Lonchura striata: one gene and its partner. Each later gene encodes a partner of the first gene's protein in a complex. Links are inferred from orthologs where the notes say so. Each region holds a gene or a part of one and is shown in the gene's direction. Other genes may lie near its edges.

Evidence for each region.
Region 2: POLR1C (region 1) and POLR2F share a complex: the UniProt entries of both Homo sapiens proteins name them as parts of the pol I pre-initiation complex. The link is inferred for Lonchura striata from reciprocal best matches to the Homo sapiens genes POLR1C and POLR2F.

The regions. Positions count from the first base shown.
Region 1 is NC_134605.1:36,012,711-36,016,614, forward strand, and holds the start of POLR1C (DNA-directed RNA polymerases I and III subunit RPAC1), read left to right. Parts: upstream 1-835; 5' UTR 836-873; coding exon 874-942; intron 943-1,033; coding exon 1,034-1,105; intron 1,106-1,187; coding exon 1,188-1,295; intron 1,296-1,816; coding exon 1,817-1,949; intron 1,950-2,053; coding exon 2,054-2,173; intron 2,174-2,339; coding exon 2,340-2,492; intron 2,493-2,650; coding exon 2,651-2,800; intron 2,801-3,309; coding exon 3,310-3,426; intron 3,427-3,740; coding exon 3,741-3,859; 3' UTR 3,860-3,904. Other genes in the region: protein YIPF3, read right to left, coding at 224-330, 410-616, 690-770. UniProt on the Homo sapiens protein: DNA-dependent RNA polymerase catalyzes the transcription of DNA into RNA using the four ribonucleoside triphosphates as substrates.
Region 2 is NC_134607.1:23,581,437-23,585,340, forward strand, and holds the start of POLR2F (DNA-directed RNA polymerases I, II, and III subunit RPABC2), read left to right. Parts: upstream 1-1,167; 5' UTR 1,168-1,262; coding exon 1,263-1,282; intron 1,283-1,389; coding exon 1,390-1,459; intron 1,460-1,580; coding exon 1,581-1,711; intron 1,712-3,201; coding exon 3,202-3,273; intron 3,274-3,904. Other genes in the region: C5H22orf23 (UPF0193 protein EVG1), read right to left, coding at 273-449, 814-876, 1,033-1,123. UniProt on the Homo sapiens protein: DNA-dependent RNA polymerase catalyzes the transcription of DNA into RNA using the four ribonucleoside triphosphates as substrates.

The DNA.
Region 1 (3,904 bases):
CACATAGGGCAGCCAAGTACAAAAAGAGTCCCTTCTCCTACACTCAGCAGCAATGCCAGGTGACAGGGCTGCCAGCCCAAGCACAGCACCTCGCTAAGGCGGGCAGGACAAGGCACGATGTGTCTGCCCATAGGTGAGCGTTCCTGCGGGGGCAACTGGCGCTCGCTCGGGCCTGGCAGCCAGACTGCTGCGGGCTCGGAGCCGCTGCCTCCCCGCAGCCCACCTGGCTCGCACTTGGACGGGCTCCACATCGAAGTAGGGCCGGAGGATGTCGATGTTGGCGTAGAGGCTGAAGGCCCTGGAGGCTTGTCTCTTCCCCACCTGCCACATCTGCGGAGAGAAGGAGCGGGCAGCGGCCGGGCGGGCAGGCAGGACCCGGGGCCGGAGGCTGACGGGGGACAGCGCTCACCTGGTCAGCGACCTGCCGGCCCAGCTGCCCCCGCAGCCCCTTCATGCCCAGGAACTCCCCGTCCTCCTCCTCCTCGCCGGCGCCCGCCTCGCCCTCCGCCTCCTCCTCCTCCTCCTTCATGCGCTGGTGCATCTCCCCCATGTCCTCGAAGCTGGAGCCCGACGTGTCGTCCATGTTCTCCATGTCGATGACAGCGGAGCCACCACCCTGCGCCGGGGCAGACTCGGTGTCAGCACCCCCTCGGCCCGGCCCGGCCCCGCCGCCCCCGGCCCGGCCCCACCTGCATGTTGTCCTCGAAGCCGCCCCATTCGGCGGCGGGGGCGCCGCTCCTGCCGCCGCCCGCCGCCCCCGGCGCGGCCATGGCGCCGCTCCCGGCCCCGCCGCGCTGGCCCGGATGGGCGGGAGCGGATGTGACGGAGCCTCCCGGCGCAGCAGCACCGCCAGCAGCGCCGCCCATCGCGCTCATGGCGGCGCGGCGGGGCACGGACGAGATGCGGGACCGCGTGGTGCTGGGCGAGTTCGGCGTGCGCAACGTGAGCGAGCCCGGCGGGCGGGACGGGGCGGGGCGGCCGGCGCCCGCACCCCCTCACCCCCTCACCGCCCCGCCTTGCCCTCTCCCCGCAGGTCCACACCACCGACTTCCCCGGGAACTACCCCGGCTACGAGGACGCCTGGGACCAGCGGCGCTTCGAGGAGGTGGGTGAGCGGCGCCGGGCCGGGGCTGCCCGTGGGTACGGGGCCCTGCAGCCGGCTGACCCGCGGTGCGCGGCTCCCACAGGCGTTCCGCGTGGACGTGATCCGTGAGGAAGAGGACGCCCTGGAGTTCGACATGGTGGGCATCGACGCCGCCATCGCCAACGCCTTCCGCCGCATCCTGCTCGCCGAGGTACCTCTGCTCACCTGGTGGTGCCGGCCTAAGCCTGGCTTGACAGGGAGCGTGGAATGTCCAGCATTGTCAGCCCTTGCGGACAGCTGCGGGCTTTGGAAGAGAAGCACACGTTCGTTCCGCATGGGTGCCAGGAGCCCAAAGAGAATTAGGACTTTAGCAGCATGGGCAATAGCGCCTGCTGGTCCTAGGGGTGCTTTGGTAGTGTCTGCGGGTCAGCCATTTCAACACAGCTGCGTGGCCAACCCAACAGAAGCCACATGATGCTGCCAAGTACTAACAGGTTCAGGATGCCCCAAAGCCCTTTTTCCTGTCCTTCATCTCTTGATTGTTTAAAAAGACGGGGATAGGAATAGATGTGGTGTACGGGTATATTGCATAGCCTGATTTGGTAGAAATACCACTCAAAATAGTCTGCTTGGCAGTTATTTGTGGGAGAGGAGGGACACTTGAGCTGCATAATCTCTTGGCATGTAGTTCAACTATTGTCTTAAGCTGACTTGATCTCTTGTCTCCTTGAGGTGCCAACGATGGCTGTAGAGAAGGTGTTTGTGTACAACAACACATCCATTGTGCAGGATGAAATTCTGGCTCATCGGTTGGGCCTCATCCCTATCCGAGCTGACCCTAGGCTCTTTGAGTACAGAAACCAAGGTGAGAATCTTGAACAGAATAGAAATATTGAAGGTTTCTCTCAAAGTAGGAAATCAGGGTTGTGTAAACTGAGCAGAAGTGTGATTTCATATGCTTCTTCCCAGGAGATCAGGAAGGCACTGAAATTGATACTCTGCAGTTTCAGCTGAAAATCAAATGCAAACGAAACCCTCAGGCTGCCAAGGAATCATCTGATCCTGATGAACTATATTTCAATCATAAAGGTGAGATTGCTCCTAAAAATAGGTGCTGTTTTTTCTTTTTGGTTTTGGGCTGTTTTCTCAGCCCTGTGTGCTCACAGGGAGAGTTGATTCCATTCTGCTAAACTTTCTTTTTGCTATCTCCAGTCCTATACAGCAGCTGGCTGATGCTTGTGGCTTCTCTTTGCAGTGTACAGTAAACACATGACATGGGTGCCCCTGGGGAATCAGACAGACCTTTTCCCAGATGCTGACTTCCGACCTGTTCATGATGACATCCTCATTGCACTGTTGCGACCTGGACAGGAAATAGATGTGCTTATGCACTGTGTCAAGGGTATAGGTGAGTCGTGGCTCCTGGGGCAGCGGGAATGTTTGGAGTAGGGCACTGCAGTGTGATGGGGAAGGGTGGAGAACTGGCTTTTCCCCTGGAACTTCAGGCCTGAGCATCCTTGTTCCCTGAGGCCTGCTCTCATCCTTGACTCTTAACTCTTCATACAGGTAAGGATCATGCCAAGTTTTCTCCTGTGGCCACAGCCAGTTATCGACTGCTTCCTGACATTACTCTCCTGCAGCCTATTGAGGATGAGGCAGCTGAGATGTTGCAGAAGTGCTTCTCCCCTGGAGTCATTGAGATCCAGAATATCAATGGTACTTTTTTCCTGCGCTAACTGCCTTGTTCCTTGCAAGCTTTAGATTGGAGCTTAGAGCCAAACTTTGCAGAAACAAAACCACATGTAATGTTGCTGTGCTGATCAATGGTTCATGTTCTTCCGAGCCTACTTTTATGGATGAGTAGCTGCCATGTGCAGCATGTTGGGTGACAAACACGGATGTCCCTGAAATAAATTGGATACCTGTCCGCAGAGCTCTGCAGCTGTTGACTGCAGCTTGCAGTGCTGTTCAGTTGTGACACTGGGTAGTGAGCTGGAAAAGCAGCTGAGTGTGGAGACTTCTTGTATCTTTCTGGGGTGCATGTACGCTTTGTGTTTGGGTTTTCCTGCCAGGTTAGACTTTCATGTTGGGTATATGCTAATTCTTTTTATTGGTGTCTCCCAGCCTTTGGTGAGGAGGGAGTGCCTGTTTGAGGTAAGCACATGTTGTGACCATAAGGTATCCACCTGCTGCAATTTGTCCATCTCGTTTCATCTTCCCTTTAGGAAAAAAGGTGGCAAGAGTAGCCAATGCACGGTTGGACACATTCAGCAGAGAAGTTTTCCGACATGAGAGTCTGAAAAACCTCGTACGCCTGGCAAGAGTACGGAACCATTACATCTGTAAGTGCCTCGTTTTCCACAGAGTCCTGACATGGTTTGTGTGAGCAAGCAGTGACTGACCAGCATGCATGGCTGGCTCTGTGCCTCTTCCTACCCTCAGCATCCATACATTCAGAACGCAGTGAGTAACTACTTGCTTTGGGATTGAATCTCTTGGTGCTTCCTGCTGGCAAAGGGAGCCGCTTGTCTGGCTGTGAAGATCTGGCTTGTTGCTGTGAGGTGCAAGGGAAGGTGAGGGCCAGCAGCATGGAGCCAGGGGCATGGAGGCTGAGGCTGCCTCGTGGCTGTGCTGACTTGTGTCTGTCTCTGTGCAGTTTCAGTGGAGTCGACAGGTATCTTGCCTCCAGATGTGCTGGTAAGTGAAGCCATCAAGATCCTGATGGGAAAGTGTCAGCGTTTCCTCAATGAGCTGGACTCTGTGTCTATGGAGTGACCGGGCTGTAGCTGGGAAAGCAGAAACCTGCGCTGCTGTTCTGCG
Region 2 (3,904 bases), on another chromosome or scaffold:
AAAATCACGTAGTGCCCCATCCTTACTCAGGGACTGTGCAGGTCGCTATCGCCTGTCACCCCCCAGCTGGCAGGCAGAAGTCAGCGAGCACTTACAGGAGATGTTCCCTCAGAGATCCATTTCTGAAACATCTTTGCAGACTGAGAGCATGAGGATGTGATACAGCAATTCAGATGCACTGCCACTGCTGAGATTGAGGCAGGGGAGGGACAGAAGGAGAAGAGAGGCTCTAGGCATCACCATGTATTTATTAGCAGTGATCGCTGACTTACGTGTGGGCTGTGGCTTGAATTTCTCCCGGGTGTAGGCATCCCCTGCCTGGCAGACCCCGGCAGGTCGGAGAAGCGGTCTTGCTGGAAGCCTGTGTGGCTGACAGGCTGCTGGGGAGGAAACAGTTACTGGCTGTTTGCTGGATGGGGAGAATCTCTGAAGGGGCAGGGCATCTCCGCCTGGGGGACGAACCAAAAATAACAGCAAATCAGACAGGAGGGACTCTGAATGGATGGCTCTGGGCCATTACCAGCAGATCTACCTGTTGATCTATAGCAGCATCACAAACGAAGACCCCAGTGCCCCAGATGTCTCACCCTGGTCACTGGGCACGACAGACTGCGGTTCAAGTCACACCGTTACGCCTTGTTTCCTGGGCGACCCGTGGGGACAGCTCTCCCGCTTGTCCCCATGTGCCAGCAGCCGCTGTGCTGCTGGTTTAAAGCACTTGCCCATCCGAGCAGGCTCTGGGCGAATGCCGAGATGCAAAAGCTCCACACCACAGCACAGCAACTGGCAGGAGAGCCAGGGCGCCTCACTCACGTTTCACATAGGCCATCAGGTATCGCTTCTGGGAATGCGTCATCTGCAACTCCTCCATCATCCCTGAAAAACACAACGCGTCGATGAAGAGGCAGCAGAGCCGGGCTGGAGAACCCGCCCTAGGGTCACCTCCTCTCACAACCCCAATCCGAAAGGGAAGATGCGGGTTTAGGAGACTCCAGCCGGGGCGGCAACACCGGCGACGGGCTCCGCCGTTACCTTTCACTAACTCCCGGGTGCCTGTGCTGTAGCGGGCCGGCCTGCCCGCCGCCGAGAGCCCGCCGCGGCCCGGGCACCCTGCGGCCTCCATCGCCACGGGCGGCGCCCGCGCGGCACGGGGCAGCGGCGGCGGTCGCCAGGGCAACGGCCCGCGATGACTTCCGGCAGCGTCACGGCGGCGGCCGGAAGCTGCTCCCGGGAGCGCCGGTCCGGAGCGCCCGGCGGGAAACATGTCCGACAACGAGGACAAGTGCGAGCGGGGCGGCGGGCGCAGGGAGGGAGGGAGGGAGGGAGGGAGGGAGGGAACGGGGTGGCGGCGGCCCGGCCACAAGTGCGACGCGTGTGTCTCTCCCGCAGCTTTGACGGGGATGACTTCGACGATGTGGAGGAGGACGAGGGCCTGGAGGACCTGGAGAACGCGGAGGAGGTGGGTGCCGCTCGCAGGGCCGCGCGGCTGCTGTGGCTGGGGTGGCCTCAGCGGCTCCCCCCACACCTCAGGGCCTCGGTGGCGGGTGCGGCTGAGCAGCGGCGCGGTCTGTTTCTCCCAGGAGGGACAGGAGAACGTGGAGATTCTGCCCTCGGGAGAACGGCAGCAGGCGAACCAGAAGCGGATCACGACCCCCTACATGACCAAGTACGAGCGAGCCAGAGTCCTGGGCACTCGTGCCCTGCAGATAGCGTGAGTATTGCCTGCTGTGTCCCCAGCACTGCTGCAGCTGTGCCTCCTTTTACACTGATTAGAGCTTTCCTCTTCCCTTAAAAATTCCCAGGTCTTCTGAATCCTTTGCATGACTGCCGAGCTTGCATGTCACCCTCTGGTCAAACTGAAGCTTACTCTTTATTGCACCTGAAGTCTGTGTGTCTCTCCTTGCCTGAAACTGTACTACGCGTGCACAAAGAGGGAGCATTCAGTAGCCACAATGAGTTTTCCTAGATCACGGGCAAAATTACTAGGGAATGGGACAAGACAGTTCTGGTTTCTGTCTTTCTTCAGAGAGTCAGCATGGACTTGAGAGTTCGTGACTGGTTTGTGAAAGGTAATGTTTGAGATAGAGATGCTTCAAAATAACTTCAGTTGATACCTCAGGGCTGTAGGAATTGGGAGTGAAGAAACCAACCTGAAATTTGTTCCAAATGCAGTTGCATTGTGGGTAGCTGTAAGGTTATTGAAGTATTTGCAATAAAAAGGCCTTATTTATAATAGACAATAACATTTAAAATTTACTTTAAGTGCTGTCAAGGCTGGCTGCTCTTAATTCATTTGACTTTTTAGATTTGTTTTAATAATAAATATTTAAAATGGTGTGCTTTTTGGGAAACTACCTTCTGAGAGAGAATGTTAGACATTGGCAAGGGTTTGAGTTTCATCTTGTTTATATCCACCTTCACAATGAGGCTTCTCTTGTGCATCATTTAGAAGCTCACAGGCAGGCAAGCTGTTCTTTGCACAGCCTGTGAAGCTGTGTTATGCATGTTCTTTCAGTTGGTGAGAGGCAAGAAGAATGGGGGGAGATAAAGGCTGTGCCAGGCCTTTAATCCACTCTGGCACTTGGTTCTGCTTCACCAGCAACTTCTACTTTCAGAACCCAGACAAGCAGCAGCTCCCATGGCCTCACCCACACATAACATGAGCTTTCTCTGCCACCACTGTCCAGGTCATGGGTGTAGTCACAATCCTTTGCAAAATGCTGAGTTTTTTCTTCCAAGAGGTAAAATGCCTTGTAAATCCAGCCCTTCTCTTCTCCTGATCGAAGCCTGGGAGCTGTGAGCAGGTCAGAATGTAAACGATGTGTTGGAGCTGTAGAAGGTCTGCTCATTTTACAGCAATTGCAACCTTTTAATTGGATTAATTTTAGAACCATTCTTTTCTACATGTTTAAGTATACAGCAGAGGGCGACTAGGAGAGTGTGGATTTGACCAGTCACTGAGCTTGAGCTGGTTGGCAGACCCCTAGGGATGGGAGAAGAAGAGCACTGAAGTAAAAGTTTGGTCTGTAACCATCTGGGGGAATTTTCTCCTTCAAGGGCACAACAGAGCAAATCAGTTTTGCCAGGATAGTGTCCCACCCCCCTACTTCATTGGCTGTTGTAGAGGTGACACAGGTAAGCAGGTGTTTAACTCTTCGTTCTCTGTGTTTTTGCTCAAGTGGCTGTTGATGTTTTTCTTAGGATGTGTGCCCCTGTGATGGTGGAGCTGGAAGGAGAGACAGACCCCTTGCTCATTGCCATGAAAGAACTCAAGTAAGTCACAGATTTTGTACTGATTTCTGTAAAGCCAGCAGTCCTCTCCTCATCCCAACATGTAGCAGTTTGTTCTAAGACAGCGTTATTTTCCATCAATAACAGTGAGCAAGTACTATAGTTGCCTTTTCCTTTCTTCATCTTGTAGTTTCTCCACAGCTGCTCTCTCCCAGACTACTTGCTCCTGCAAACTGATGATTACGAGTGCTCTGGACCTCTTCTACTTCATGTTCCCAGTATTATTTATTTCTGTGATGGAATCCCAAGGTCCTCATCTTTTGGGAAGTGATTTAATTTCCCAAATGGAATTGTTTTGAAGCAGCCAGCTGAACAGAACTGTGTTCAAATGAAGTGCTAGCAAAAATTAAAATAAGAGTTAGGCTGATGAGAATGTTTATTTCCTGCACCCTTCCGTGCTTGGCTTCTTGTCCTTTCCCCCTGCTTACAGAAAGGTGAATAAATCCTTTCTGACTGCAGCAGAGGCAGCTTTTGGATGACCACTTGCAGGCCCACTTTTCCACAGCAGAACTCCCTGCTGTCCCACAGTTTTCCTGCACAGTCCAGGTCACATGCAAGCAGCTGGACACTGTTACTGATTAGGTCCCTGTCCTTAAACAAAATTATCCCCCTG